Linked DNA regions of Arabidopsis thaliana. The protein of the gene in region 3 interacts with the protein of the main gene of each other region in a pairwise test. Each region holds a gene or a part of one and is shown on either strand. Other genes may lie near its edges.

Region 1 (8,892 bases), on a different chromosome or scaffold from region 3:
GACTCAATAGTTTGAACAGAAATATAATATTTCCCTGTTTTGAGATTTACATAAGATGACGTTTTGAGAGTGCACAAAATATCAATAATGGACTGTTTGGCTACAAGTTTGCGGCGGTCAACGCTAAACACTGTACTAAACGCTAAACACACTTTCCAGATCGATATTTGTTATCTATTTCTATTTGTACTTGATCCAATTTAGCCAGCCATTTGGTATTCACATATTCGCTAAAATTCAAATGTTTGATCAAATATCGATCAGTTTGCTAAATCTTATTGGGGAAATTAAATTTAGAAGAGTTCTACAATTTCCTTCATGTTCTAAAATTTCCTTCATGTTCTAAACTATATGTGAAATTGTATTCTAAGAATTTCTATAGTTTCTAAAAACATTAGAAAACGTTTATCGACAAATTCCTTCATGTTCTATAGTTTTTTGGAGAGATACTTATCTCATTCATTAAATTGAATCAAAGTACAAATATAAGAGAGATTCAAATATCCCAAAATTTATCGACATTAGATCTATAAGATATTCTCCAATGCTAAAAATAAAATAAAAACTATGTATCAATTAGATCCACAAGAAATTGGAGAAAAAAGTGGATAGCATCTTAGTGCAAAGTGCAAACTAGTTCATAGTTAATCAAGGGTTCATCCACAAGAAATGAGAAAATACTCAGTTAAAAAACATACTAACTTGAAGACGATTCTAAAACCTTGGTTCTCACCGGCACGAGAAGTTCTACACAACATTTAACAAACATTTTTTTTAGCAAACATTTAATTTATGTTTGGATTTATTTTTTATGTATAATGACGTCGAATTTCATATAATGTTTTAACAAACATTTAACATGTGTTTGGATTTATTTCTTATGTATAGTGATTAGTGACGTCGAACTCCATATGAATTAACTTTTACCAAACATTTTAACATATGTTTCGATTTATTTTTTACTTTTACAGCAAATTCAAAGTTTTTTTTTTTAAAGAAGATTTTTTAGAAAAAAATAAAAATAATCATAAGTAGCTATTCATTTCAAGATGAAATCATTAATTATAGTGTTACTGTGTAAGTTTAACTAAAATATATAACTTTGTGATATTTTAAGTATAGTTTTCAATAGTATAACTCTATAACTATAAACTTGTAGACTTGTATCCATAGACGAGTCACGAGAGATGATGTGTTTCTCTCAAAATCACACTTCAAATAAACAAATGATTTTACATTGTTTTTGGTTCAAAAAGACAAAAAGATGTTTGTTTTTCAAAAGCAATGGTTTAGTCTAAAGACTCCAAAATCTAAACCGATATATAACGTTTTGAAAATGTGCAAAAATCAGTGATGGACTGTTTGGTTACGGCGATCAACGCTAGACACTTTACGAAACGCACTTTCCAGCGTTTTTGTTATGTATAAAAGTTTTTTTTGTTTAAATTCTTAGTTATTGTGCTTTCATAAGGTTTTAAAGCTTTAATATATAGTTTGCTAATAATATTTACCAGCTGGAGTTGGGTATTTGATCGAATATTTGAATTTTAATGTATATGTGAAAGATTTGGGTTAGATACGATCACAAATTCACAATTCCACAAAACCGTATAAATAATAAAACTCACAAATATTAAATTATCTAAAAACGAAACAAATCATAATTTAATAAACAAAATCAGTGGTTTTAAAATAAAAGCGAAATTTAATATGTAAAAAGTGAAACAAATCATATATATTAAAATAAATAATATTTGATATATATATAAATGTATATATATATGTGTCTTGTTTATATATATATATATATATTGATTTTGTTTCTTAATTTTATAAAATTCAATGAATTTATAACTAATTTGATCACTATTATATTTTTTATATACATGATATTGATCAAATTAGCTATAAAATAATTGAATCACAAAATTAAGGAACACAATATCTATACAAAAAGATACACATATATCTATATTTTTCAAAGCATATATAATCAAAGATTTTTAATTTAAATCTTTGTGATTTGTTTCGTTTTTAGAGATCAATATTTCATTTGCTCTGTTAACTTATGTTAGCCAAAAAAAATGAACAATAATAACAAAGCACATAAGGTATCGAAACTGATATTTAAGAAATTTGACAAGCCCCAAAATTAACTATTCTTGTCACTATCTATAATAACGACTAATAGTTTAAGATTAAAGTAATTTATTGTATATTCCTTGGATCGACTCTATAATCTATTGTCTAGTAGTATGATATAGTAGTATCTTTTTTTTTGGTCCTCCATAGACGAACAATTTAGACGAGATAATCTAGGTGTGAACAAAAAGAACGGCTTTCTTCTCCCTCTTTATTGTTAGTCAATAAAAGATAACTTATAAACCAAAACATAGCTTATACATCAAAGAGTCATTACATCGACATTCATGTATCTGAAAAGATATTAAAACAAAAGATTCCGTGAATATATTAATTGGTACATATAAAAATCCAAAAACATACTACTAAATTCGAATAAATAATTATGTTTAGGGAGCTTCACTTATTTAAGTATAGCATCTATGACTAATCTAATTACTACACAACTGATCTACACAAAATAATTAACTGAACAAAATACTTAAATTACAAATTAATTAAGCAAACGGTCTTCCCTTGTTAACCAATCCTATTTAAGTTACGAAACTAGGGATAGTATATGAAATTTAATTCATAATTAAACATTTAGTGGATGAATTAATTGTAAGAGATATATAATTACTATTAATTTATAAGATTCTATGTTAGGTTGAATATATTAGAAGAGTCCAGCTCATAACTCTTGTGCCCATCTCCACAAGTAGTTTGTGAAGTCAAACAAAAACTTCCACTTTTAAAATTTTCTCTTATTTCTTTCTCTCTCATAAGTCATAATATTCAACTAATTAAGTGCATATATATACGATGTATCAGTGCTTATAATCTTCATGAGGAGCTTTATATATTTAGCATAATATCTTTCAGAAGTGTGAGGCCTTGTTAATTAAGCTCTTCTTCTCTATCTCTCTCTCTCCCTCTCAACCTCTCACCATGGTAGCTCAAGCTCCTCATGATGATCATGTTAGTTTCTCCTCTCTTTCTCTCACAATGTTATTGCCTTATTGTGATTCAGATCTTCATTTTTGTTTTTGTTTTTTCGATAATCGATCTTCATTTTTGTTATGAACAAGACAAATTGGACTTTGAGTTATTTTCTCAGGGCAAAGCAAATTAAAAAGTAAAGATGATAATTGAGTCTAATTATCAAATGATAAACAATAATACTTCTCTTTTTTTTAACCTCACCCACTGAATTTCTCATAATATGTTTCTTCTTTCAAAGATTTTTTGAGCCTTGTTTTCGCAACGATACAATTTCCTTTCGGTCTTTGGATTTATTTTGTAGAAAATATCCAGAAAAAAAAAACTGTGGTGCTTAGAGATAGATAAGATGTTGAGAGAATTTAAGAACTTAAAGACAGAAGTAATTTATTGTAAGTTAATGACGTGTTGACTATAAACTTCTGACTCATTAAATGCTTACGATTTTTCTTAAACTCCTTAATTACTAGTTTCATTCTTTTTTTTCCCTCCAAAATTATGTAATTGAATTCTTACGAAAACAAAAAAAAAGGATCTACTTTTTGTTCGTAAGTTCAGATCTTAACTTTCAAGTACCGTACATGGTCAGTTTCCAACTTTTCCAAAGTTTAGGGAACTTCTACCAACCTTAACCATCGTCAGAAAAGACCAAGAGATCTTCCAAATCCATTATTGTACTTTTACTTTATCTTCATTTTACCCCATAATTTATTATATACACATTTTTAGCCCACTGACATATAATTTCTGACTTTTCTTCCATTGATTTTTTGTAGAATGAACAAAATCAACTTGTTCTTTACTTTCTTTCTTTTTTTTGTGTAAGGTTTGTCTACCAACCTAAACCATGTTTACACCAAGAGATCTTCCAAACTTTTCAACCTTATTTTCTTTTTACCCCATAAGTTATTAAATCTAACTGTACATCCCCAAAAATCATGATTTTTAGCAACACTCGTATAAGTTGACTTTTCTCATTGATTTTGTGGAATAGTCAGAATCAACTTGTTCTCTTTGTCCTTTAACCTTTGCACGTAGTTGTAGATCTCAACTTTATAGTATGGGTCAGTTTCTGACTTTTCCAAACTTTAGGGACGTTCCACCTAGTCACCAACCTAAACCATTTTAGACTACTAGATCTTCCAAAATCCACCCTTATACTTTTTACCCTAGAAGTTTATTATTTAACTTTTTAACCGAGTTGTAATTAAATCATTGACTTTTCTTGCAATTGAAATTCTTGTGATAATAAAGCAGGATGATGAGAAATTAGCAGCAGCGAGACAAAAAGAGATCGAAGATTGGTTACCAATTACTTCATCAAGAAATGCAAAGTGGTGGTACTCTGCTTTTCACAATGTCACCGCCATGGTCGGTGCCGGAGTTCTTGGACTCCCTTACGCCATGTCTCAGCTCGGATGGTAAATTCCCCTAAACCAAAACCGGTTTATTTTACCTAAACCGGATTTATCAAATCTTAACCGGTTTTAATTTGTTTTCTTTTCAGGGGACCGGGAATTGCAGTGTTGGTTTTGTCATGGGTCATAACACTATACACATTATGGCAAATGGTGGAAATGCATGAAATGGTTCCTGGAAAGCGTTTTGATCGTTACCATGAGCTCGGACAACACGCGTTTGGAGAAAAACTCGGTCTTTATATCGTTGTGCCGCAACAATTGATCGTTGAAATCGGTGTTTGCATCGTTTATATGGTCACTGGAGGCAAATCTTTAAAGAAATTTCATGAGCTTGTTTGTGATGATTGTAAACCAATCAAGCTTACTTATTTCATCATGATCTTTGCTTCGGTTCACTTCGTCCTCTCTCATCTTCCTAATTTCAATTCCATCTCCGGCGTTTCTCTTGCTGCTGCCGTTATGTCTCTCAGGTAAATCATTCAAACCGGTTCGGTAATTTAAATTAGTTTGGTTTGGTTTATTTAATAACTCTGTTTTCTCTTCCTTATTATCCGGTTCTAAATCAATTTCCTTTTTGTTTCTAGCTACTCAACAATCGCATGGGCATCATCAGCAAGCAAAGGTGTTCAAGAAGACGTTCAATACGGTTACAAAGCGAAAACAACAGCCGGTACGGTTTTCAATTTCTTCAGCGGTTTAGGTGATGTGGCATTTGCTTACGCGGGTCATAATGTGGTCCTTGAGATCCAAGCAACTATCCCTTCAACGCCTGAGAAACCCTCAAAAGGTCCCATGTGGAGAGGAGTCATCGTTGCTTACATCGTCGTAGCGCTCTGTTATTTCCCCGTGGCTCTCGTTGGATACTACATTTTCGGGAACGGAGTCGAAGATAATATTCTCATGTCACTTAAGAAACCGGCGTGGTTAATCGCCACGGCGAACATCTTCGTCGTGATCCATGTCATTGGTAGTTACCAGGTTGGTTTTTCTAAACAAGAACGTACCCTTAAATACTCGAGAGAGAACCGTTATTAACTAGGTCTAAACCAAATCTTGGTTTTGTTGCAGATATATGCAATGCCGGTATTTGATATGATGGAGACTTTATTGGTCAAGAAGCTAAATTTCAGACCAACCACAACTCTTCGGTTCTTTGTCCGTAATTTCTACGTTGGTAAGAAAATTTATTGAAATTCACGTTTATTATTTACTTATGTATATTTACATTTTTAAGGTGTTAGTTGTTCAAAAAATCTGATGATGAGTTTTTTTGTCATCTTAATTATGGTTTTGTAGCTGCAACTATGTTTGTTGGTATGACGTTTCCGTTCTTCGGTGGGCTTTTGGCGTTCTTTGGTGGATTCGCGTTTGCCCCAACCACATACTTCGTAAGTTTGCGATTACTTAACGCTTTTCTTCAGCTCGAATGAATTATTATTCATGAAGAAACATATGCACTTTTTCAAATTTTGATTAATACAAATTAGCTTACCTAATTTATTTATAATTTTTTCAGCTCCCTTGCGTCATTTGGTTAGCCATCTACAAACCCAAGAAATACAGCTTGTCTTGGTGGGCCAACTGGGTAAGTAACATTATCATTTACTTTTCAAGCATTTGCGATCCGCGGTTGCGTTTTGTTATATTGTTTTTCATAAAAAATAAAATTTTGTTTGTTGTTTATTTCAGGTATGCATCGTGTTTGGTCTTTTCTTGATGGTCCTATCGCCAATTGGAGGGCTAAGGACAATCGTTATTCAAGCAAAAGGATACAAGTTTTACTCATAAACGCTATGTAATTCCACTAATTAAGAAACATATCTTTATATTAATATATGTGTGAAGAAGTTTTTAAGAGATCAACACGAGACATTTATAGAAGAATCAATGGTCTGGTCTGAATCTAAATGTAGCTTTTAGGGTTTGTATTTTCGTGTGTGTTATATATATTATATAAAACAATAATATTTTGCTCAAATAGGTTTTCAAAATGTTTGGTTTTCTGAGGAGATTGATTCTTTGTGTTCTCAAGAAAAGAATACATAGATGGATATCATTCCAACTTCCAAGTTATTACTATTATTATATTATAGCCATTAAATTCATGATTAGTACGAATATAAATATTTCATAGCGTGCAAATAACGACAAAAATAGAAGATTCACAAGTGAGTCAACGAAGAAAAATGAATTATATACTTCATACATTACAAAACGAATATGCATAAAGAAACATATTTATAAGCTTTCAAGGGTTCAATGTTCCACTGTTTCTTATATTTGAATTAAGAATCTAAAATTTGATTAGTCGGATGGGGTAAACCCAATCAATAACTCATGATTATCTTACTCGAAGATTCGATGGCAGTCTTTGCCAGCCAAATTTGCACATATAGTAAGATGAAATTAAAAATAAAATAAAAGAAGTTTTGTCAACACAAAATATTGTTCTTGTCCATTTGAACCAATCCAAACTTTAAAAACCAACTAAAAAACTTATAATATATGCATGTGCTACAACTGCCGTTTGTTCACGCTTATAATATATGCATTTAGCTTCTTTATAGTTTCGCATTTGTGCTTTAACCCCACATTTACAGAAGAGGCAATGAATCATTTCAGCTTAATCCAACCTTGGTGACTTGGTGTAATGACATTCTGATTCGGCCTCTTAATTTAGTATTGGACCGTTCCTGAGCCCACATTTCTAATGGCCTGGCAGGACATAAATATCATTCTCATTGTAAAAATTAATTTCCAACCCAATCACTATCTTATACGATTACAAATATATATTATTTTCGACCAACTTTTACGATTATATATAATGTAATTATCATTTATTGTAAGAGATAAGGAATCGATTTATTGAGAATACATGATTCGGAGTTGTATATGGATCCTTTGGGCAGGATTTTGGTATAGAGCAGTCGAATGTTTTGCACCTATTTTTCTTCTTTTGTTAAATAGATAGCTTACAAATCAATTTTGAATTCCGCAAGGGTGGAATGACAATTCGTTCATATCAGTTGCAACATCTTCAGAGTATTTGTTTGCATAGGATCTGCAATGTTGCTCTTCTGGCAAGTAGCAAGAAAACTGTCTTGATCTTACATTGTCTTGTCACGTGTGAGATTAGTTTGAATTTAACTTTATCACGTGTATGGACTTGTTTTTTTATTAGGATATATAGAGTCCAGTCCTCTTAATTAAGACTTAAAACTGTTGCATGTCATGAATCCTGATCAAAGTTTGAATACTATGATGAAAGTATTTTGATCGTTTAAACACTTAATCCCACAAGGCTTCAAGTCACTTTTGTAACTGTGCCTCCCAGCCAGTAAAGGCCCAAGTGACATGTGATCTTATTCATTGAATTACATGGACCACTGTAGGATCATGCCCAAATAGTCCAGAAATCAGCCCATGCGACCAAATTATATTAAACAATGATGCTAATATGTTGCTCCAAAGTCTAAACTAATTACTAAAATAGATTGATATATATGTGTTGACAATATTAAATTTAGACGTAATAATTATTGACTATGTCTGTGGAGTTTATACCTCGTATAGGATAATATCGATTTTGACCGTCCGGCCAATAAGAGAGTTTTGATTCCACCATCGACTATACAATGTTGCATAAAATATAAACGATCGAGGCTACTAAAACATATATATATAAATAATATAGTTAATAGTATAACATCCAGTGATATGTATGATATATGCATGTGTGAGCTGTAAGGTTAGTCCATAAATCATGGGTTTTGTCGTTAAAAGAAGAGAAAGAAAGAACCTTATTTATAGACAAGGACCAACCAAGACAGCCCTTTCTATGAACTCTCCTCCAACTAAAATTGCCATCTGTTCACTTATGATTTCTTCACTAGTCCCTTCTTATTTGTTTTTTATATTTATGTTGTACGTACGCATATACAAAATAAACAAGGAAACAAATTTGAAATCTCGCGCTTTCACTTTAAAAAAGAATGACTCATAAACGAATATACACTATTGATTTGTTGGAAAATATTTGATGTGTATAGATAACCAAATAAATTCAACCTATAATAGCGGTTTTTAATTACACATGTATAATGTGGGTCTGGGTCTGTATATAGAATCTAGGGTAACGACCGCTTAACTATATACATGCACTTTTTATACTTTTTCTTTTACATCATATATATATATATATATATATAATGTATTATTAAAGCATGAATGGTATATCATTTTTTCATTTTGAACATAATTCTGCTATAACTTTTACTATATATTTAGAACATAAATTTTTTAAGGTTTCAAACGTGATTTCATTGTATACGCGTATTATTGTATT
Region 2 (7,038 bases), on a different chromosome or scaffold from region 3:
GTTCAACTCTTTACACTCTCAGGCAAAGCCACAAAGCCATCTTAAAAAAGAAAACAGATATGTTTTTCCTGTGTGTCTTAAGTCCGCGCTCTTACGATATTACTGAACAAAAATCTGAGATCTTGCAAGCTAAGGTAAACCTTTCTAACTTTCAGTGTTGATGAGCCAAGAAAATGTTAAAAGTTACTGACATATATTTCAAATTTAACCGAAACTGGTATATTGTATTACAGTGGATGCCGATCCAAGAGTATGTAGACCAACCATGGAACAAGAAGAACGAGATGTTCAAGTTCATGGCTAACATTTGCCAAAAGAAGTGTGAGGAAGAATACTTGGGATTCGCCATTGTGCCAACTACCACATCATCTGGTAAAGAGAGCTTTATCTACTGCAATGCGGATCATGCCAAGCGCCTTAAAGTATCGCGTGACCAAGCCTCTGCTTCTCTCTGAAAACATTCTCATCTGATTCTGTTTGATCTCGGCATGTGTGTGTCCAGTGTGTACAAAACAGGAAACTTTCTTCTATATTATTCCGATTCTACAAAATTGCGTCTAAATATTTAAGTTTATACCATCTCTATGAGCCACTGTAAAACTTGCCATCGACTTCTAGTCTATTTCCAGTGATGGTTTGATTCTCCCAACGCTTACGTGCTTTTTAAAGATATGAGGCTTAAGAGTGTTACCATACACTTGGTTTATTCTTCCAAAATATCTTCTCGTAACCGGTTTTAAGTTCTCAGCTGTATCGTCTCTTGACCATTTACTACACTGGTAAATGGTGTGAATCCAAGAAAGTGTTAATGCCATTAAAAAGGTTCACATTACTTTGTATATGTACACCAATTTTTGCGACTCGTTTGTACTGTGTGCCTAACGTGAAAAAGATAAGGCATATATGGGCTTTAGCCCCAAAAAAACTTTATAGGCCCCATATTAAAATTATAGTGTATTTATTTTTCCAGAAATAGAAAATTTATTGTAACATGGAAACATCAAAATTTAAAATGGAATAGTTGCTAAAAATACTTGGGTTCACCCTTCACCCCCTTATATTCACCTCTTCTATTTTAATCAATTAAAATCTGACATTTAACAATAATAAAAAGAATTTAATTTTATTATAAAATCTAATTTGCCACTAAAACGAAATTATGTATCGGTTTGGATTTATTAGAAAAGGTTAGGGTTTAGATTTTATGATTAAACGAGGTTAAATATCGGTTTGGGTTTAGAAAGTACGATTAGGGTTTAGATTTTACAATTAACCAATTAAATATTGGTTTAGGTTTATAAACAGATTTAGATTTTACAATTAAACGAGGTTAAATGTCGGTTTGGGTTTTGAAAATACGATTAGGGTTTAGTTTTTTCTTACGATTAAATGAGTTTAAATGAAGGTTTGGGTTTACAAAGGAGAATTAGGGTTTAGATTTTGTAATTAAACGAGATTATATATCGGTTTAGATTTATAATTATAGCTTTAATTTATTATGTAATTTAAGTAAGATTTGACATGACATGTTTTTATTGGTTAATGCAAAAGGAGGTGAATAGAAGGGTGAATAAAGCTTCGTTCAATAGTTGTGGCATTAAATGTTTTGAAGTTTTGCACATTACTTAAAGCAATAAAATGTCTATTTTAGTATCCTTCAAAATAATTACATTTGTTATAAAATAATTACATTTCTTACAAGTAGGTACTAACAAAATCAATTTTTATCTCACACTAAATTTCTTAAATACATCCGATTTTTATTTAATAAGTTAAATCATGATTGTTTTTTTTAATTACACCTAAACCGCAATTTGTAAACCGGATTAGAGATTAACTAAACTTACATGTCCAAAACACTATTAATTATGGATTGATGGAACAAGAAAGATCTAGTATATCTAATAAGAATATCACCACATTAGGTAGGAGCTGATAATACAATTTTTGTTGGAGATGCCCAACCTAGAGATAGAAAAACATTTAATCCCTCTTAAAGCCCTTATTACTATGTGCAATGCAACACATATGGTTAAAAGATATTACGACATTATAATCGGAAGTTTGAACTAACACTCATTTTATCTCGTATTATAATCTTTGTCCCTATTCTGATTTCCTCTGTAATTGAAAGTATACTATATTTCATATTAGTGTAGTTACGATGGAGCATCATCATGGGTCAAATCCAAGCGACCACAAAGGATGTAACATGCATCTTACAGCTCACAGCCTCACACTATTTCGACTACCACCGACACTATCTTTATAGATACACGTGATTCCAACGTACCAATCACTCTTTTGAATGATCATCACATTTTTTTAGAATAAAACATATCAGATCCAACACAAGTGGAACAATTAATTATTCCAAATCTCCACACCAAGTATCAACGTGAACAAAAAAAAGAATATGTAAAATAAATTAAACCGACAGATCACAAAGAAAAAGGAAAACAAGATTCCCAAAGCGAGGTAAATGCCACGTCACTTCACATAAGCCAAACTCCGAAACAGAGCCCGACAATGGCCGTTACGACATTACTTGTTCGAGTAATCATCGCTGATACGGCGCCGTTTTTATCGTCAGCCACCTCAACATCATCATCTGACGGAGCATCGGCGCTAGGTCCGTCGGCGTCAGCCTCCGCGTTCTTAGGCTTTTTCTTACTCGACTTAGGAGCTGGAGCGGACGTCTTAACGGCCTTGTAGATTTCTCTAGGCAACAACACTTTATCGATCTTGTAAACTATCAATGGCTCTTGATCCTTTAACGTCCCCATTACCTTCGCCGTCACAACGTCCGTCTCCAGCGTCACGTCTTCTCCGTCATTTTGAACGGTGAAATCAAACTTGTTGTTACCTTCCGTCGCTAACGTGTTAACGGCGCCGTTACCTGATCTAAGCATTTGTAACGACTGGTAAACCGGCATGCCGTGGTAAAGCACTAACGCAGTCTTGTTCGCCGGAGAAAGGGATTTGAATTTCGGCATGAACTTACCGACAGCGCTGTCGGAGGGACAGAACACCGTTAAGCCTCCGTCTACGGTATCTTGGAACGTTTTGTCGGCGCCGGTTGACTTCAAGATGTCGGAGAAAGCTTTGCACCCTTGTTTTTCGAGGATTGTGGTGAGGATGAGGTCGCTGGGACTCGCCGTGGGAGCTTCTGCTTCCGGCGAGGTTAAGACTTGGCTGATGTGAAGAACAGAGATGTTGTAAGGCTTTTCAAAGACGGATTTGACGTAGTGAGCTGTGAGCTTGCTATCGTCGTCTTGGACACCAAAAGCGACTTTACCGCCTTTTATATCGGTGATGTTGATGTATCCAGAAGTTCCGGTGGCGGATCCGGTGGATTGAAACATGGAGGCAGTGGAGGTGGAGCCGTCGGTGATCTGGTGAAGTTTCTTGGTGCCGAAGTAATCGACCAGGACGTGGAGAGAGAGAATGTTGCGGATTTGGTAGAGTGAGTATCCGTTAGAGAGGATGGAGGACATTGCTGAGTTATCGACGGCCAAGACGGTGATTGTTTGCCGGCGGTTGATCTCGTCGGCGAGATGAGTCGCTGAGAGATAGTGGTTGAAAGTGGAGAAATCAGGGTCTTTGGCCAAGATTCGGGTTATGTTATGTGCATTTGAGAGAGAGAGAAAGAGATGGAGCTGGAAAATGAGAACCAATGCGGTGGCTGCTCGCCGGAGATAAGCCATTTTTGGGTGGAGGATTGGGCGGCTTTGATAGAGGAATTGTGTGGTAGCATTTGGAGAGGAGTCTTATAATAATGAAAGATATATAAAATAGATTATATGAACAAAGCTGTCTCGCATATTTCCAGCGCAGCAGCAGGTAAGTGGGCTCTACATAGCTTGAGTCTGGGTCACATTTGAAAGTAAGTGTCGACGAGAGAAACACATTAGTGTTTAGGAAATATTAAGGCCCGGTTCAATATTTTATTCGGCTCTAGGTACATACGTAGACATGACCAAAATTTAACTGTAACAGTATAGTATATTTTTATTTTTACCAATTTTAGGTATAATTTAAATACCTACAAAATTTAACTTTCATCTTCGTATTTCTATAAACGGGAAAGGTTGGATCCTATTGGAAAGTAAGAGACGACGATCGTGGGAGCTCTTGGAGACTTGGTTTTGCTTTTCGGTTTCTTGAAAGGCAAGATTTTCAAGTTAGCGTCGGTTGTGTTAACCCGTGAATCAGATTTTTGGACAAAGCAAGCCAAGAAGGGTGTGAAGAGAGACATGTTTGGAGTTGTAAAACTTAAGTGCGAGGTTTTCTATTAATTTGAATCTTGGCCTAAAGTCAGGCCGGTCCAAAACTAAAGCTTGTAAAGCATAATTATAAAAAAAATTAATGACATCATTTTACAAATATTTATAGTGGTAGAGTGGTTTTTAAACAAACCACTCCGCAACTGACCCTGATATAGCAATTGAGTAAACATATTTTCTGTTTGTACTATAATCGTTAGAATCAATACATGTTTTACTCAAAAGACGATTTGCCGTTGCAAATGTTATTAACACTGCATAAAACGAAGCAAATGATAAAACGATTACAAGATATGAGTAAGCATGTGAGTTTATAAGATATAATTTGCTGCTAAATATTTTATTTCATTTTCAATTAAGTAAGAAAGTTTTGACTAAAAAATAATATTTATATCAATAAATAGTTATTCTGTCTCTGTGCCACTGTATATACATAAACTTACCCAAAACAAAATCATCATTACAAAAAAGTGTCGACCACAAGCAGAATCTTTCATTGGTCTATTACATAGATAAACAAGATTGGACTGGATCAATAGTATCAGCCTCATATATTTTCTTGGTTGTGATCATAACTACAGAATTTCACTTTTATCCTTCCTACTTCCTAGTTCCTATAGACGAGAAAGGTTGGAGCCTACGGGAAAATAAGAGACGACGATAGTAGGAGTTCTTATGGACTCGGTTTTTCTTTTGGGTTTCTTCAAAGACAAGACTTCCAAATTACTGTCGGTTGTGTTAATCCTTGAACCAGATTTTGGAACAAAGCAAGCGAAGAAGAGCGTGAAGAGAGACATCCTTGGAGGTTTAAAACTTAAGTGTGAGTTCTTAAGTTAATTTGAGCTTACTATACATGTCAGATAATGTATATATAAGGGGATGGTGAAGAAAGTCACTGAATCTTCTTTGTACACGTCTCTTTTTTGGAAAGTGACATTATAACTTGGCGGCCAAGCTTAATAAGTGAATAGTTTCGTTGTCCGTTTTAATTATGCCTTTTGACAAGTCTTCGTACGTGAAGTTCAAGGACTTTTGACTCTTTATGTAAATCATTTGGAAGAAAGAGTCCACGCGATTATATGAATCCACTGACTGAATTTATTTCTGGGCTTAAGTTGGGCCTTAACAATCCATTTTTTTAATATTTGTTAGCCCAAAATACATAATCAACCCCTGGACTCTGGAGGGATCACACATCACCGTCACTTTTCTCAGTAGAAACTAAGCTGTTCAATTTCAAACCAAGATCACCAAATTTGATTCCCAATGCTAGACAAGAACTATAGAAGCTAAGCAACATGAAGAAAAGTGTGAGAAGGAGATCATGAGAATTTTCGTTTCCTCGATATGGCTGTTCTATTTGATGAGACATGAGAAACAGATAAGCCTTGCTTGTGTGCTTCAACCATTGAATACACCTGCACTCCAAAATTTGTTCCTTCTCAACCATCACATCCAAGGATAGTCTTTTAATATGTTGAAGACGAAAAGGAGGTACCTTTCTAACAGCTGATGTCAGTCCCAAGGTAGAAAGAACATCACTGCTCACACACTTCCATGTTAGAGTGTCCTTTGCCTGACCTTTGAACAGATCTTCGGTTCCGCCTGTAACTTCTTGTTAGTTTCTCTAACTATATGTAAAAAAGAGACCTAGAAAGAAAGAGATAGATAGTGGTCAAACCTGTAAGTTGTACAACTAATAGCTCCACATAAACTTTTCGACGAATGTGAGTGAATATGTGGACGAATTCTCCGAGTTCTTCTCTTGAAACTATAGTGCATGCTTTCTTGAGTTCTACATGAAAACGAAATGCTTCCTTAAGGTAGACGTTTATTGCGTTCCTCCTTGTTGCCGAATCAGCTTCCTCATTTAATATAACAGATGGGAACTCCCAAAGACCAGCAAGCAGACCTTGTTCGGGTCTTTTTACAAGAACAAATCTACCTCCTGATTGGTTCCTCTCCAGATTATGTATCTCCAAAACACAAACGCAACAAAAGTCGTGCCTTGGCTTGGCCTTGATTACTTTTGTAGGATAATCTGTCACGGAAATCGTTCTGTTTTCCTCGGAAAGTGAAAATGCACGACATTGGCTGGAAACAGGACAAGAAGAGCAACTTGGCTTTGATACAGTGCATAGTGTAGCACCAAGCTCCATCAGAGATTGGTTGAAATCTCCAGGGCGTGAAGGATCCACTAGCTGAGCAGCTAGTTTCCTGACAAAGATAAATGATTTCTTTATCCTCTCTTTTAGTATAGTCTCAATAGCGAAACATTCGAGCAAATACAAAAGTTATTTCACCAGAAATTCCTGGCCGTAAGTCGGTCTTTTGGATTAGCTGAGATGGCTTTTAATCTAGCAAGCACTCTTATCACATTTCCATCAACAACAGGTACTGCCTGGTTCATAATAAGTGTCAAAAGACGTAAAGATAATTACTTAGATGTCTTACATTGATGACTGAAAAAAATGAAACTGACTCACCTCATTGAAAGCAATTGAGGCAATTGCTCCGGCTGTGTACTGTCCTATTCCTTTAACTTTCATCAAGCTAGACGCTTGATTAGGGAAACCCTCCGTCCCTGCAACAACCATCTTTGCACCCTGTGAGAATCAAGACAAGAAGAAAAGATCACAATGATATTTAGTGAACGTATCAACTAGGATCAAACCCCAGATTGCAGAAGAGTATTTACCTCTAAAAGAAAACGTGCCCGCCGATAGTATCCCAAACCTGCCCACATTTCGTT
Region 3 (9,694 bases):
GCTCCTCGGTTGTATGGGTAGAACACTCCAACAAGAGCAAGCATGAAAATAAATATGGTGCTGATGACATGGAATAAAAGGAAAAGCTACAGTTAGTTACAGTAAGAAGAAATGCGGATATGGATGAAAGTGTATCCAGATGGAAAGTATTCGAGTTATGAGAGACTTACAGCGTGAACAATTGAGTGCCACTACCGAGCGATGCAGCAAATAAAGAATTGTGAGTAGGGAACCGAAACACATCGCCATGAATGTACTTCCATCCAGTTTCCTCTTGATCATCAGCAGCTTCCTCATCTTGAGCATACCTTTTAAGCATTGGAATAAGGTTAGATGAGATAGACAAGTGTAAAACAGTCGACAGTGAGGAAACTTGAAACTTACTTCATGAAATCGTTCTTGAGGACTCGCATCAAGATAGTTGCAAGGAATCCAGTCAAAAGAAGGACAGTGACACAGGAGTTAATAATGGAGAACCAGTGGATTTCCAAATGATGTGGAAGAGAAGAAGACATAGAGTACTTCTCCATTCTTTTCTCAAAAGGAGTCTCAGTTTCCTTCCACTTCACAGTGTACATAAACTCTGCATCAACTTCCTTATCCTCAGTGAGATCCACAAGCGAATGAGGATCCATTCTAGCACTGATCTCGATCACACGGTCCTTATTGTATAGAATCTCAAACTGAATGTGCTTGTACAAGAAATATTTGAATTCACTCGGATCAGATTTGATATCCTTGTCAACCTTTCCAATGAATCCCCAGATAGGTAGATCATCATAGTACATCTGGAAGTAGTAGTCCTTCTCAACAGCTTTTCTGAACTGTTTGACCTCTTCTTTACTCAACTTCTTGTTGCAGTATACCTCAGACTCTTTTTCATCTCTGAAGTTGAGCTTGTATGGAGCGCTAACTAGCCGATCCCCGTTTAGAACCTCGCCAAGAGCTTCCTTCTTCTCTTTCACACCCTCTATAAACCATATTCAATAATGGGATGATCGAATCAGGAGATGTCACACAAATCAGTTGCGGCTTAAACACAAATCGTGTGATTAAGCTAGTAAAGATATAAGCATACCTGGGATACAGAAGGGAAGATCAAAATATCGATACGTCTCACTGCAATCATCATTGAACAAAACCAAAATCAGTCATATAATAGTATTCAAATCTAAGACAGATCCATCACATAAACGAAAAACATTCCAAATGTAGTTTCTTCTTTCACTCTTTGGTTTTAACATTACGCATTTTGCAGTGTACTCAGTTATCAATGTCGTTACTCAATTCAATAGCAACAGATTCAACAATAAACGATCAATTTATCATCCTCAGGCTTAAGAATGGGAAACAACCTCAGATCTGAAGCTCAGATCTAGAATAGATGTTTCCGTTTACCTTGGATTGTGAAATGGGCCGACCTTGTTGGCGTAGAGAGGAACGGTGTCTCCTTCCTTGTAACGGTGGTCGGAGGCGTCGGATCTGACATAGCCGGCGCCGGAGAAGAGGATAGCTCCGACAAGAAGGAGAATCGTCGTCGGTGTCCTCATTGCGTATTCTGCTCAAATCGTGAGATCTGAGTAACTTTTTTTATTTGGGAGAAGAGGGAGAAAAATGGAGGAAATAACGACAATATTTATATACCAAAGACTTCAATCAAACTCGAGTCAGCTACACAAATTTTAATATTTTTATTATTTTCTCACTTTATTTCATAAGAAAAATACATAAAAAAACTATAGTCAATAATACTTTATACCATTTCCAACCATAAAAATAAATATCAATGTCTATAAATTCATAAATATATGGCTTTTGAAACCAAGACTAATTATTTATAACAAATGTGAGTGGCATTTAACAAAATACAAATCATTTTCCCATATGTAGGCTAATTAAACCAAAAAAAGAATATGTAGGCAGTGAGCGAACTAATTGTTCTGCCAAACCTATGTATCTTATAGTGTTTTTTTTCCTTGGGTCGAAAATCTTATCGTATTAACACTTCATAAATTTTGAATAGTTAAATTATTACTTCTTTGTATTAGATGTGGAGTGGAGTGACTATTTTTTTAATATCTTTTGTGGTTATAGTATAGTGAATATGAAGAATGACGAATGATGTTACACGAGACCAAGTTTTTGAAAAAAAAAATATATGAATCTGATAATCATTTTTCCTTTACGTGCGTTATCGTACGTAATTGCTTTGCATGATCTCACGTCATGACAGCAATTATAGAAACTAAACAATTTAAAATTCTCATTTATACACAACGTGCATCGTTTTGAGGCATGGATAATTTAAGGTTTTCGATTTATAGATTGAATCAGCAAGAAATTACAATGTAGCCACTTATACCAAAAATAAAATCAAACAATTTGAACAAGATACATTGAAGTATGGATCAAAACAAACAAACAAAAGTGACACTAGTTAAGTTTAGAGACTAGAGTGAGTCGGTTTTGTTATTTCATAATTTGGTTCATGTAAATATATGTACCCTTCATTTGAACAGAGTAGTATAATCCAGTAACTACATTCATATCTAGCAAAGAAAACAGAAACCTAATCAAAAACGTATTAAGATTTCTCAAATTTTCGTTCAAATTAGTGATAGAAAACCAGACGTAACCGAAATAAAACAGGTCAAGCCAAACCAGACTAGATTCAATCTTGGTTCACTCTTAAACGAAGCAGATTCGGTTCGGTAAAAGCATCTTTGACCGTAATCACTGGCAAAACGAAAGATTGATCGTTTGCTTCTTTCTACCGGAGATGACGAGTATAATCGGCGCGGCGTTGCCGTACAAATCACCGGAGAAAGCAATTGCATCTTCTTCGTATTCAGCTGAGAACGATTCGAGTCCTGTTGATGCTGTTATTTTCGCGGGAACTTCGCTGGTTCTCGGCACCGCTTGTAGATATTTGTTTAACGGCACTAGAGTTCCGTACACCGTCGTTCTTCTCGTCATCGGCATTTTTCTCGGATCCCTAGGTCTTATTTGTTTGCTCATTAAGCTTTATAGCTCAGTTTCAATTTCGTGGAAGATTTTAGAAAGTAGTTAAATTTTGGATTTTTTTGCTTCTGTAGAATATGGAACTAAGCATAACCTTGGGAAGCTCGGCCATGGAATTCGTATCTGTAAGCTACTGTATTTTCTCTTCTCCATACTGTTAGATTACGAGCTCTAAAAAATGGCAACTTTACAGGGAATGGTATCAACCCTGACCTACTTTTGGCTGTTTTTCTCCCTGTTCTTCTTTTCGAGAGCTCATTCTCCATGGATGTGCACCAGATCAAGGTTTTTACTTTCCTGATTGAGCTACTTCCTTGGCTGTGTTGGTTCCTGGTATTGATTGTTTTACATCATTGGTAGAGATGTATGGGACAAATGGTTCTGCTTGCTGGACCTGGAGTTCTGATTTCCACCTTTTGTCTCGGAGCTCTTATAAAGGTACTTTAACTAGCTTCAACATTTTCGACTGTGATTAAGTGAGCTTCAATTAACTTAACAATTTTTTCGAGTTATGCTCTTGTAGCTTACTTTTCCATATAACTGGGACTGGAAAACATCATTGTTGCTTGGAGGACTTTTAGGAGCTACCGACCCCGTGGCTGTTGTTGCTTTGCTAAAGGAGCTTGGTGCTAGTAAGAAGATGACCACGTTAATTGATGGGGAATCTCTCATGAACGATGGGTAACCATGTCAAACTCTTATGTTTAGCATCAAGGTGATGTTATGTCATATATGATCAAGCTTAGTTGTTTGGATTATTCAGGGTATCGGTTGTGGTTTTTCAATTATTCTTCAAGATGGTGATGGGGCATAACTCTGATTGGGGTTCCATAATCAAATTTCTTGTCCAAAACTCATTCGGAGCGTATGGATTATTTTCCTTTGTTAGTAGTATTGTATGTCGCTGTCTTCTTTTCTCCGCTTATGTTGTTCTGGTTTTTTAGTGTAGGCATTGGTCTAGCTTTTGGAATTGCATCAGTTTTTTGGCTTAAATTCATATTCAATGACACGGTGGCTCAGATCACTGTAACACTTTCAGCGAGCTATTTCGCCTATTACACTGTATGCTCTTCTCTTCTACATAACTTAGTCCCCAATGGAGAATCTTAAATCTCTAGGAAACCTAAGAAATTTCTACTATGTACAGGCTCAAGAGTGGGCTGGGGTTTCTGGAATTTTGACTGTCATGATTTTGGGGATGTAAGTCGTGGTAAATTATCCCTTCTTTCTGTTGTTATGTGTCAAAAAGCCATTGTTCATAACATAATTGTAATAGGTTTTTCGCTGCATTTGCAAGGACAGCTTTTAAGGGGGACAGTCACCAGAGTCTGCATCACTTCTGGTATTTCACAACTCAGTGTTCTTTTTTCGTCAAATCAAAGGAAATCTTTACATGTATATATTATATTTTTATGATTGCCCTATAACTTTTGTAGGGAAATGGCCGCTTACATTGCAAATACACTAGTTTTTATGCTCAGGTACGAACTGTCTGGCAAGATTCGAAAACAAAAATTTACTGGTTATTTTACAAACAAAATACTGCAGACGATGTTTTAGCCGATACCTGATTGATACAAGATCATTGCATGTGTGTCTCTTGTGAATTGCAGTGGAGTTATTATCGCTGAAAGCGTTCTTAGCGGTCAGACAATATCTTACAAAGGTGTCTCTTCACAATTTATTATTCTACGTCCGGATTTTTTTTTTATTTTGTTCTTGGAAGATGTAAAGGGAGGTTTTCTCCTAGAATTCGTCATGATTAACGGATAACATCGCTAATTCCTGATACCATTACCGCAGTAGCTTTCTTTTTGACATATATTGGGGTTAAGAGGACCATTCATTACTCGTAACGTTCTTTTCAGGAAACTCGTGGAGCTTCCTTTTCCTCTTATACTTGTATGTCCAACTTTCCCGCTGTGTTGTTGTTGGAGTTTTGTACCCATTGCTATGCCGTTCTGGCTATGGGTTGGATTGGAAGGAATCCATCATACTCACGTGGTCTGGATTAAGGGGTGCTGTTTCGCTGTCGCTCGCTCTATCTGTAAAAGTGAGTTCTGAAGAAATGGCATTTCATTCATGCAAGAGCAATATCTACTAATTTCAAATCTGTTTTCAAATCTTTTATATTCATGTTCCCATTTCCTTTTCTCTGACATACTATAGCTCTCGGTCATATGATTCAGCAATCAAGTGGAAATTCATATCTCAGTTCAGATACGGGAACAAGGGTGAGTTCTGAAACACAGTATGAACTACTTTTGAATTTCTTTCTGGAGGCTCTTTTTGTTATCTTGATGTGTTTCAGCTGTTTTGCAGTTTCTATTCCTCACAGGTGGGATTGTTTTCCTAACTTTGGTTGTTAATGGATCCACTACCCAATTGCTCTTGCACCTTCTTCGCATGGACACTTTAACGGCCACTAAGGTCAGTATGTTAATCCTATATTCTCTTGTGCTGCTACTTTTCAAATCTAAAAAGCAAAGACAGGATATATGGGTAGATAATGGAACCTCTGATCATCCGTCTTTATACATGCACAAATGACTGCATCCTTCTGCAGTTGTGGGTATATTAGCTTAGGTTTGTGCGTTTTACAAACCGAGAATAGGTAGTTAGAGATTGGGAATCAACCTGCTTCAGAATCTGTCACCGATCCTTCTAATGTATATACACGCACAATCTTTGCAACTAATGCTTCAGAAATATAATGATAATGCTCCTCTTTTTCTATTGACAGAAACGAATATTGGAGTATACAAAGTTTGAAATGATGAAGACTGCTTTAAAAGCTTTTGAAAATCTTGGAGATGACGAGGAGCTTGGATCTGCTGACTGGCCTACAGTTATAAGACATATTTCAAGCTTGAAAGATTTAGAAGGGAGACAAGTTAATCCTCACGATGGGTACGAAGCTGGAAGTCTTGACCCTACGAATATAATGGACATACGTATACGCTTCTTAAATGGTATTTCACAATGCGTAGTAAATTCTTCTCATTGTCAAACTAGTGTCGTTCCAAAAGTAGCTATTGATTCGAGACTCTTGCCTGTATCAGGTGTCCAGGCAGCTTACTGGGAGATGCTTGATGATGGGAGAATAACACAATGTACTGCTAATGTTTTGATGCAATCAGTAGATGAGGCACTTGACCTTGTTTCTACCAGTTCTTTAAGCGACTGGAGGGGTTTAGAACCGCGTGTTCATTTCCCAAATTACTACAAGTTTCTTCAGTCAAAAATTATCCCCCACAAGTTAGTCACGCATTTGATCGTTGAAAGACTGGAATCTGCTTGTTACATTTCTTCTGCATTTCTCCGTGCCCATAGGATTGCGCGACAGCAATTGCATATCTTTCTAGGTATGCATCACTCTGTTCTGTTAAATAATATCTCTATGTTAAATTCGTTTAAGACTCTGCATATTAGCTCACGAATACAGACTTGAATGAAAACCTTTGGTCCATCATTTACCTGAGAATGTGCTTTTTTCTTTACACAGGTAACAGTAACATTGCCTCTACTGTAATCAATGAAAGTGAGGTGGAAGGAGAAGAAGCAAAACAGTTCTTGGAAGATGTCCGTGATTCATTTCCTCAGGTTTGGAACCATATACTTTTTTTTGAAACCCATTAAATTGTCAGGATTAACTGATAGGCTGATATTGGCCAATATATTTGTCAGGTTTTGAGTGTTTTGAAAACAAGACAAGTAACACATTATGTGCTGAATCATCTAAATGGTTATATTAAAAACCTTGAGAAGGTTGGCTTGTTAGAGGGAAAAGAAGTTTCTCATCTTCATGATGTTGTTCAGGTAAAATTTGTAGATTCTTTGCCATCCATGTTTTAGCCACATGATTGAGCTTAACACTCTCACTCTACTCTCCCTCTTCAGTCTGACTTGAAGAAGCTCCTGAGACATCCTCCTTCACTAAAACTTCCAAATGTAGACGATCTGATCACCAGCAATCCTTTATTGAAAGATCGCTCAAGCTTCAGGAGTTTGGCCATTGGCGAAACAGATGCATGAACTGAGACTTTAGGTATCCTTGTCAGAATCAACTAGAGTAGAATCTGGTTCCAGGATCGAGTCATGAGCTCGTTCGATCTATGACCAAAAACAGTCCATTCGTATAGTTTTTAACTTGTTTCATAATTACAGGGATCGAATTCATGAACTCGTATAATCATTTCAATCAATCCTTTTTGGCTTTGAAAAGGAAAATAAGAACGATAATGGTTAAATCCGTAAAGGGAAAAAAACATCAACGAAAAAACAAATCATGGTCGCTCTCTAAGCCAAAAACGCGTTAACTTGGAACCAAAGAAAGAAAAAGTCTTGACTACTTCAAACTCTGACAGTACACTTTAAAGTTAAACCTATATTAATCACTTATATGCAAAACAAATCTAGATCCCAGAAATATATAAATTCCCAAATTATAAACGAATTTGCAATAGGAACAAAAATATAAGAACGAGCCAACGCGTCTTGAGAATTTTCACGCGGTTCTTTTAACTCACCCAACTCTTCTTCACTATAAACTCTCACGTCGGCAGTTCCAGCTTGCAGAGACACATCATCATCTCTAGTACTAAAACCAAACCGACATAAACCGGGCTGAGAGAGAGAAATGGGTGAAAGAGAAGCTTGTCTAGTCCCAAAGAGAGGACAAGTTCTTAAAAGAGTCATGAGTGTTGTCTTCTTTTCTTGTCTTTGTTTCCCTTCTCGTAAAAATACACAATCATGTCTCCGATCATCTCCCTCATCTTCTTATGTCACACCTTCTCTTGAAACCATCAAGCCTTAAGGACATTTATAGGACCAAACCAAAACTCAATTAGGATGAAATTAGATTCAAAACCCAATTCTCAGTTTTTTTATTCAACTTGTTTTGTACCACCAATAAGTCAAAGACCATAAGCTCAATGGATGGTCTCTGAGTCACCAAGAGGGAAGGGGTCATCTCAGAATGTTGTAATAGTTCATGTATACGCTACTCAGCTTTTGTATAAGCTACTCAGCTCTTTTTATTCAACTTCTTGTAATAGTTCATGTATAAGCTACTCAGCTTTTGTAACTTTACTTTTCTTTAGTAATTCTGAATTTTCAACACAAACTCGAAGTCTGTTTCAGTTTTTCTAATTTTCTCATATCATTTCAAGCTTACCAATCTTATGTAGCCTTGTTTAATACTACAAGTGACTGATACGGTAAAAACCAAAATTAGTACACTAGCTAAAGCAATATATTCCCAATGTTTCAACTAACATCTTATCTAATCTAATTCCATACCTGTGACAACGATAAGCCCTTGGAAAAAAGGAAAACAGCATCCTCATATCGTACCTACAGAGAAGAGAAGCCAAACTGCACTAAAAGAAGCTTAACCATAGTAAGAACACACAAAGACAGAGACAAAGGAAAGTATCACATTCTTTTTTTAAGATTACAGAGCGAAATGTTGCCTCAGCTGCAAATCCAAAACAAGCTTAAGTCAGTAATAATCACTCTACTTTTTCTAAAACTCCATAGATAGCAGAGATATGATGAGCCAAGAGTAAAGATGTGTGAACGAGAGAGTAGTACATATAGTTTTGGCCATCAATTTAAACATCTAGAGAAGAATAAGAGATCAAAAAGCATTTCCCTGCGTAGACCAGCTGTCTCTCTATCTCTTTCTCCCACCACGTTCCCTCAAAGACAATGTTAGGATTTCTCCTGCTCCGACATTGTAATGTGCAAGCGACATGTTGTCCTTTAAGAACCCTGCTTTTCCACTCAACTTCTGTTTGTTTGCTGGGATTTGAATCTCCCCAGCTATTTTCTCCTTCAAACTTCCCACGTTTTCAGATAACGACTGCACTGTGATCTCCATAAATTGTCCATCATTCTCGTTTGGCTTAGAAACCCTGATTGTAGCCGGACCCTGAAAATGTACAAAACAGGTAAGATACAACTCAGAGGAAAGAAAATGGCTAAGAAAATGATTCAAAAGACTGAAGAACACATTACCGGATGCTGAGCAAGAAACTGGTCTTCTGGAACAAGGGCTGACTCATCGAACTTTTGTCTCTTTGCCTCTGGTTCCTCAGGAAGAGGTGGTGGAGCCTCCTCGGGTGGTGGAGGAGGAGCCATCCCAGGCATAGGTGGTGGTTGCATCATCCCCATTGCAGATGGTGGAAGCTGACCATAAGGTCTAGGAATTTGCATATGATGAGCAAACTGAGATCCCGGTGGAGGTGGCACATGCATACCAGGCTGCATCTGTGGTGGTCGGTTCATCATCATCTGCGGGTGTCCTGGTGGCCCTGGCATTGTGAGCTGGTGTTGTTGATGCATGGGCTGCATCATCGGAACACCTAGTGGCCTTGGTGCACCGGGGTACTGAGCAGAAGGGGGAGGACGAGGGAGGTTCAAGGCGAGATTAGGAGGTGGTGGCAATGGTCGGACTATTGGGACACCTGGTCGAGGAGGTGGAAGAGCAGCTGGACCAGGGAAGCTATTGGGATCTCCGTAAACGCCATCACCTTGCTCCTCTCCATTAGCGTTCTGACTCAAGGCTTGGTTTGCTGTGCGACCAATACTTCCTGTGTGACCATCCCATATCACTTGCTTGGGCTGCTCATCTTTCTTCTTCTCAATCTCTGCTTTTACAGCATTTGAG
Region 4 (6,979 bases), 1.1 Mb from region 3:
CAGGGAACTCAATATCACGAGTTGGTTTGAACTTCCTATGAAGATTATCATACTGCATTTCAATGGATACCCATTTATCTTCAAACATGTTCAACAAAAGCTCAGCAAAACGATACACATCATGCCCAATCGGATTATACAAAATCGCATTGTTAAAAGTAAGTCTAACATCTTCAGCGAAATCCAATGGCGACTTATACAAACTTTTCCCCAACTTAGTCTTCACTGTACCCAAATCCATAGGCTCTTTAACAATATTGTGATAATCATGCAAGCCAAGTCCTTTAGCATCCACAGGGACATTGAATACCCATGCACTCTTATGCTTCATCAATTTCGTAAGCAAACTGTTACAGTTCTTAAAAATCTGAACCGTACCTTTATCAGCTCCATGCCCACTTTTCTTACCTCCTCCATTCCCTGTTTTCACCTTCTTGCTTCTCCCTACAACACCACTTTTAGCCATTGACCCACCAGGATTAGCTTCGGGATCGAACCGTTTGATCAAGCTCCTAACCTCATCAAGCTCAGATTTTAGTTTCCGCTTCAAGTTCCTAACCTCAAGCTTCGAAATCGAGCTCAGACTTATCTTCAACATGTGATGATCGTCCTCCGACGCAAACGAGTTCGAAGGAGATACAAGAGGAACAGATCGTTCCTGTCTAGAAACTCCCATTGGTTTGGGTCGGTTCTGGCTTGAGCTCCACTTATGTTTCTTCGTCTTTGAAGCTCCACCACCTGATATATGTTCAGAAGACATTCCCCTGACAACCAAATTTGGGGTTTCTCTAGGGTTTTTTGAGCTCCGAGGTACCAAGATTGAGGAATTTAAACACGAAATCGAAGATTGGTGAGATCGAAAGAGAAGAAAATTAGGGTTCAATGGTTACTTCAAAAAAAGATCGCTCTGGATTTTTTGCAAAGCTGAAAAAAAAAACTAAAGGGAAACAATGGTGAGAGCCGCGAGAATAGCGTAAGCTCACGCGCTTTAGAACCCGAGAAATTTGGGAAAACAAACACATGTGTGTAGTAAGGGAAAGTAATCTCAGGTGTCCCCCAACAATATTACCAAACCGGTACGAACCGTATATATACATAGGCTAATCAGATAAAAGTAAGAGCCATCTCCTTATCTCATTGCAAACCAAACTATCATATGCTTCTCATATCTTTCATCTCCTTACTCTTTAATGGAAGGTATCCTGTTTTTAACGTTTTTGTCTAGTCGTTTCATTAATTGGGTGGTGGGTGTTATGATTTTCGCCATGTCTTCTACTGTTTCTCTCTTTCCAAATTGAATAAGTTACCAGCTGAAAAGAATATCTTAGTAGGAATAAGCGAATCTTTCCATGAATGTTGTCCGTGAGTAGCCTTAGTACCATGTTCCAATCGGTAGAGAAATCTGCAGCTAAGAGTTTTTAAGTGAGACTCGACCAAACTTCCTTTGAGTATTGGCATGCGAAGAACAAGTGGTTTCTAGTTTCTACATGCTCTTGACAAAACACACACGAGGTATTAATCCTTACATTCCAAGTAAACAATCTATCTCTTGTAGTTAAACGGTTATGAGTTATTAGCCAAATTAGAAATTAAAAGAGTATTTTGGTGTGGCGTGCGAGAACCAGATACCTTCATACCTTCCTTATTTGGTTTTTGCTCCCGTGTTGCTTCCCATGTGTCTTTGGTGTTGAATGTGGCCTGAAATCGATCATCTTTACCTCTCCAAAGAACTACATCCTCTGTTTCGACTAGCCCTTTGGACCAAAGCTCCTCTATTAAATCCTCCGATCCATTTGGTTTAAATGTACGACTCGATGCCTTCTCCGTTTATGCGTTAGTAGTACTTCGTAAATGTTCCTTTTACGTGACGTCTAACTGCAAACCAATTCGTATTATCTCTATCTAGAATTATTTTTTTCAAAAATATACAAGGTGTACTATATAATATGATATTCATTCATATGATGATATGACAACACTATCATTTTCAATATTTACATTTCTTCCATAACCGCAAGCTAGCATGACTCAATCAAGTCAATTCAAAAGGAAATCTACGAATTTATTGAATTTGTTTCTATTTCTGGCAACTGATAAAAATAGTCATACGTATATATAAAGTCTTATTACTAGTTCACCAAATTAAAACCATGCACCCATTGACCAAAAAGCTCTTCCATAACCAGGTATACATTGCATGGAAATGTATTGATCTTTTTCAAATTCAAGAATAGTCTATATATATATATATATATTAATAATTAGGTGTTGAACAATTCACAAAACTAAAACCTTTGACCTATTAACACAAATGGCTCAATCATCTGGACACGTTTCTTATGTGGCGGTTACGGTTCCAATAGCTATTGTCATGACAGTGTTGTGCTTGTTTCTAGCCAACGCCGTGACCTATGCCCGGAGACCGACCACCTACATTGTGGGAGGCGACGATGGTTGGGATCCGGTTGTTCCGATGGACACTTGGGCACGAGGCAAAACCTTTTATGCTGGTGATATTCTCGGTATGTATCAATGATCTTAAAAAAAATCTTGGTACGGTAGTGTGATTGATAAACCATATCCATCATACTTTAATATTGGCTTAACTTTAATCTGCTAAGACAATAAATTTATATTGGTATATTCATGGTGATACATTGCAGAATTCAAATACGATTATCAGAGATTTAATTTGATTGTGGTAAACCGAACTGGTTATGAAACTTGTGAAGCGAACGTTGGAGCGATAGAATATTCGTCCGGAGACGATAAGATCCAGCTTAATTACGGTTATAATTATTTCATCGGAACATATACTCCCGAGGATTGTACCACCGGTTTAAAAATGGCCATCAAAGCATTGGCTCCAAGATAAATTAAATGAAGCAACTTATTATAACAATGATAAGTGGAATGATTAGTGTTTTCGTACGTAGTGTTGGAGTTATTTGTAACAGTTTAAAATGTTAGATTAATAAATATCTTATTAAAATTCATTTGCGTTTTAATTAGTAGCTTTTCACTTTATAAATAATCTAATGATATCTAGTTTATGTGCTCAAAACGTAAATATTCTTAGGTTATATATTTTCTGTTCTAAAATAAAATCTAATGATGTAGAATCTCGTTCTTTGTAATCAACAAAAGTGAAATATTTATAACAAGTTCTTAGATTGAATCTGTCTTAAATTATCAAACTAAAGCAAGTTTTAGTCTCTCTTTTTTTTCTTTCATAATATTCGTTCTTACCAAAAACTTGTAATAAATATCATGGGATCGATATTTTGACTCTACGATCTCACATGGAAAGACAAAATAAATGACGAGGAAAACAGAAACCGGATCAAGATTCAGAGAATTGTGACTTGATCCACTTGGCACACATGCATAGATATATAGTCACAGCATGGATAGTAGTATACATACACATTTACACAGTACCATTGTTATGTATATATTGAATCTTAATAAAGGAACTGTCCAGATTGAATGATCAGGTAAGATCAAGGAATAGATAGACACGAACAGGATCCACGTGTTCAGCTTCAGACACTCTCATATCACATCTGTCTCCTAATTGCTTCCACTTTGCTTCTTTTAAGCTCTCTCTCTTCAAGTCTTCTTCTCTTGCCTTTTCTTCCTTCTTCTTTATCCATTAAGGTTTGATCCTCTCACTTAAATTAGGGTTATATATGGCTACATCTGCTAGAAGAGCATATGGATTCGGGAGAGCTGACGAGGCGACTCACCCGGACTCCATTAGAGCCACTTTGGCTGAGTTTCTTTCCACGTTCGTCTTCGTCTTTGCTGGAGAAGGCTCAATCCTCGCTCTAGGTTAGTAGTTTATACATACATAGGGTCATAGGGAATATCCCCCCAAAAATATATACATTTTCAGCTATATACTGTTAGCATCTTTACTTGAGAGAGTATTAGTCAAAACAAACACTAGTACTCTAGTAGTATAGCTCCTACACAAACTTATTTATATAATCAATTTTAGAATTTGTTTTAATAAGGAATGAATATATAAGACTTCCTTTGAATTTAGTTATAGTGAATGTTATCGTTGGAACTATGCATAATCATGCATGCATGTGTGATATGAACTATGTTATATGTGTTATTGGACAGACAAGTTGTATTGGGACACGGCGGCTCACACGGGGACAAACACGCCTGGAGGGTTAGTTCTGGTGGCGTTAGCTCATGCATTGGCCTTGTTCGCGGCTGTTTCTGCAGCCATCAATGTCTCTGGTGGCCACGTCAACCCCGCTGTCACTTTTGCTGCTCTAATCGGAGGCAGGATCTCGGTCATTCGAGCTATCTACTATTGGGTTGCTCAGCTTATAGGTGCTATCCTCGCTTGTCTCTTGTTGAGGCTTGCCACTAATGGCTTGGTATATTACTTCTCATCAATCTCTATATATTACTATTGTCTTTTTGGTACAGTTTTGTGTTGAACCAAGAACTTTGTATATATCTCTGTAAATATATGCTCATGAATGAATGTGATTCTCTGTGATGCAGAGACCAGTAGGTTTCCATGTAGCATCAGGAGTTAGTGAGCTTCATGGGCTACTGATGGAGATCATACTTACATTTGCTTTGGTTTATGTTGTCTACTCGACCGCAATCGATCCAAAGAGGGGGAGTATTGGGATCATAGCGCCACTAGCCATCGGGCTCATAGTTGGGGCAAACATTTTGGTGGGAGGACCTTTCGATGGAGCCTCTATGAATCCGGCTAGAGCCTTTGGTCCAGCATTAGTGGGATGGAGGTGGAGTAACCATTGGATCTATTGGGTTGGACCGTTCATTGGTGGTGCACTCGCCGCACTGATCTATGAGTACATGATCATCCCCAGCGTGAACGAACCTCCTCACCACAGTACCCACCAACCATTGGCTCCGGAAGATTACTAGACCGGAGCAGTCTTCATGTAGAGGGTTCTCTCTTTGTATAAATAGTCTCTGTGTTTGCTTGTGTTGTTTGTCTCTTTACTTGTTTTGTTTTCCTGCCATTTCCTATGTATAATTGAGTCCACACCAAAATCTGTTTTCTTGTATTGTATATCTTACAGAATAATAAAGATTTTCAATGATCGGATAAATATGGGGACATCTATGGCTTTCTCTCACATCTCTGTACATATGTAACAATGCCTAACTTCCTCTGTTTCTATAAATCAGTTTTTGCATCTGAAACCTGCAAAAGCTTCTTCCTTCTCATGTTAAGAAGGTCCTCTCATCTTTTCAACAATCTGTCTACTCTTCTCCTCCATGTGACGCCTCTTCTCCTCCAATTTCTCCCCCATTTTCTTCCCAAGATCCAACATTCTTGCTCTTCTTCCCTGTTTTTTCCCCCTTGAATCATCTTCTTCGCTTGAAGCTACAGACCTAGATGGTGACTGAACAGCAGAAACCTCTCTGCTACTCCCTCTTGAGTTCGTCTCCTGCTTGTTACTGCTGCTGGGTACCAGTAGTGGAGTTTTCAGTTCTTCCAAGGATTTATCATTCTCTATTGTTACAGTTGTGGAGTTTGACAATGGCGTAGACATAATAGCTTCTGCTTCAGTATTCTGTTTCTGGAAAGCAGTGGCCGCTTTCTGCACTTGCTCAGACTGAGCACAGGAGGAAGAAGCCAATGTCCCTATTTCAGAAATAATCTTCTGGGTGGCGTTTGCAGTTCTCTGCATTTGCTCAGCTTGAAGACATGAGAACGAAGTCGGTGGCTTGTCAGATTTAGATCTCGCTTCTGTTGCATGGGAGGTATTGTGATCGTTTTCTTGATTCAGCCACATGAATGGAGCGGCTTTGCGTTGAACCCAATCATCTTTTTCAGCAATCATCCAAGGAATCGTTAGGCTTTCACAGTTGGGAAGAACCACCGCTTCTCGTATTGCCGTCTACAGAATCATAATGTTATCACATTCTGTCAGCTCAAAGTCCTCTAGAGAACAAAAGAAGAGAATCACAAAGGAGAAAGAAACTGTACCTTAAACCGGTTGATCAAGAACATTGCAACATGGCTGTTGGTGATTTTGTGTTCCCCAACAGAAGATGCGAGATCGAATTCGATATCCGGCATGCTCGTGAATCCAAACCATAATTGATCAGAAGGAGGCGGCTTCATGTGTACCCGCAGTGTCCCTCGAAGAGAAGACACCCGTATTGACAAAGAGATAGGCACCTGCATTTGAGAAACAGAGATTTCTAGAAAACCATATTGAGACATGAATGACTAGAAAAGCAAAACATAAGAACCCAAAAAAGGTTATGAGGAGAACTAAGGATAGGTTATATCAAGCCAACAAGCAAAATAAAGAATAATCTTGTGGATGTTTAGGAAAAGGAGAATCAACCTGAGAAACTTGTTCAGCAATTGTTTTAAGAATAGACTTCCACCTGGATACACCATTTGGAGCTGCCTTCGTACCTCTTGAGCTCTTGGATTCATCTGCAACCAACAGAAAGATGGTAAGAAATCAATCGTAATTATCACCTTGAGAAAAAGTTTTGAACAGGAATCACGCTCGCATGATCTCTGTGGGTTAAACTAGAAAAGACTGCATTAATCCACATTAAGTAAACATTGAACTAGCCTGCTTTATTGGCTCCACCATTTTTCACTTCTCCTGCATTAACAGTTTCCACAGGGAAGACTAATTGCTTTTCAAAATCTTCAACACCTTCAGCAAAATTTGACGGGACTACCCCTGAAGACCTTGGCTGCAACCTTGTATCGGTTATGCCTTGTTGCAGATCCACCTCACGGATGTCAACCCGTGTTTCAACGTCAATCACCACGTCACCAGAGTATTCAATATCTAGTTCGAATGCCCACACACCACTCATCTCCATTGGAAGAACCCGTGTAGCATGTATATGAGGTGGGAGATTTCCAGTGTCAACATCGGAGCAGATTAGTTCGCCTATGTAGCTCGGAGTCCTCATGTTAGATAACAACCGCTGTTTA

Evidence for each region.
Region 1: the proteins of NHX8 (region 3) and LHT1 interact in a protein complementation assay, tested with the Arabidopsis thaliana proteins (one large-scale study listed by BioGRID).
Region 2: the proteins of NHX8 (region 3) and FLA2 interact in a protein complementation assay, tested with the Arabidopsis thaliana proteins (one large-scale study listed by BioGRID).
Region 4: the proteins of NHX8 (region 3) and BETA-TIP interact in a protein complementation assay, tested with the Arabidopsis thaliana proteins (one large-scale study listed by BioGRID).

What each region holds. Positions count from the first base shown.
Region 1 is NC_003076.8:16,320,751-16,329,642, forward strand, and holds LHT1 (lysine histidine transporter 1), read left to right. Parts: upstream 1-2,816; 5' UTR 2,817-3,072; coding exon 3,073-3,102; intron 3,103-3,559; exon of another isoform or gene 3,560-3,949; intron 3,950-4,377; coding exon 4,378-4,544; intron 4,545-4,630; coding exon 4,631-5,014; intron 5,015-5,128; coding exon 5,129-5,522; intron 5,523-5,612; coding exon 5,613-5,718; intron 5,719-5,840; coding exon 5,841-5,932; intron 5,933-6,060; coding exon 6,061-6,129; intron 6,130-6,233; coding exon 6,234-6,332; 3' UTR 6,333-6,632; downstream 6,633-8,892. UniProt on the Arabidopsis thaliana protein: Amino acid-proton symporter. Transporter with a broad specificity for histidine, lysine, glutamic acid, alanine, serine, proline and glycine. Involved in both apoplastic transport of amino acids in leaves and their uptake by roots.
Region 2 is NC_003075.7:7,489,103-7,496,140, forward strand, and holds FLA2 (FASCICLIN-like arabinogalactan 2), read right to left. Parts: upstream 3,979-7,038; 5' UTR 3,708-3,978; coding exon 2,496-3,707; 3' UTR 2,125-2,495; downstream 1-2,124. Other genes in the region: NUDT7 (MutT/nudix family protein), read left to right, coding at 23-134, 234-455; AT4G12731 (uncharacterized protein), read right to left, coding at 4,076-4,258; AT4G12735 (uncharacterized protein), read right to left, coding at 4,901-5,083; AT4G12740 (HhH-GPD base excision DNA repair family protein), read right to left, coding at 5,476-5,891, 5,968-6,503, 6,590-6,687, 6,773-6,892, 6,985-7,038. UniProt on the Arabidopsis thaliana protein: May be a cell surface adhesion protein.
Region 3 is NC_003070.9:5,029,525-5,039,218, reverse strand, and holds NHX8 (Na+/H+ exchanger 8), read left to right. Parts: upstream 1-2,608; 5' UTR 2,609-2,779; coding exon 2,780-2,999; intron 3,000-3,095; coding exon 3,096-3,146; intron 3,147-3,214; coding exon 3,215-3,306; intron 3,307-3,381; coding exon 3,382-3,459; intron 3,460-3,544; coding exon 3,545-3,702; intron 3,703-3,784; coding exon 3,785-3,886; intron 3,887-3,965; coding exon 3,966-4,083; intron 4,084-4,168; coding exon 4,169-4,221; intron 4,222-4,297; coding exon 4,298-4,363; intron 4,364-4,457; coding exon 4,458-4,502; intron 4,503-4,634; coding exon 4,635-4,687; intron 4,688-4,889; coding exon 4,890-5,074; intron 5,075-5,190; coding exon of another isoform or gene 5,191-5,210; coding exon 5,211-5,255; intron 5,256-5,343; coding exon 5,344-5,451; intron 5,452-5,764; coding exon 5,765-5,993; intron 5,994-6,083; coding exon 6,084-6,386; intron 6,387-6,526; coding exon 6,527-6,624; intron 6,625-6,708; coding exon 6,709-6,840; intron 6,841-6,921; coding exon 6,922-7,056; and 2 more. Other genes in the region: AT1G14670 (Endomembrane protein 70 protein family), read right to left, coding at 1-60, 171-308, 385-970, 1,079-1,119, 1,399-1,550; AT1G14650 (SWAP (Suppressor-of-White-APricot)/surp domain-containing protein / ubiquitin family protein), read right to left, coding at 8,699-8,956, 9,043-9,694. UniProt on the Arabidopsis thaliana protein: May act in low affinity electroneutral exchange of protons for cations such as Na(+) or K(+) across membranes. May also exchange Li(+) and Cs(+) with a lower affinity.
Region 4 is NC_003070.9:6,126,517-6,133,495, forward strand, and holds BETA-TIP (beta-tonoplast intrinsic protein), read left to right. Parts: upstream 1-3,508; 5' UTR 3,509-3,692; coding exon 3,693-3,834; intron 3,835-4,134; coding exon 4,135-4,400; intron 4,401-4,530; coding exon 4,531-4,926; 3' UTR 4,927-5,111; downstream 5,112-6,979. Other genes in the region: AT1G17790 (DNA-binding bromodomain-containing protein), read right to left, coding at 1-760; ENODL22 (early nodulin-like protein 22), read left to right, coding at 2,312-2,522, 2,664-2,875; AT1G17820 (testis-expressed sequence 2-like protein (DUF2404)), read right to left, coding at 5,235-5,909, 5,999-6,193, 6,366-6,460, 6,606-6,972. UniProt on the Arabidopsis thaliana protein: Aquaporins facilitate the transport of water and small neutral solutes across cell membranes.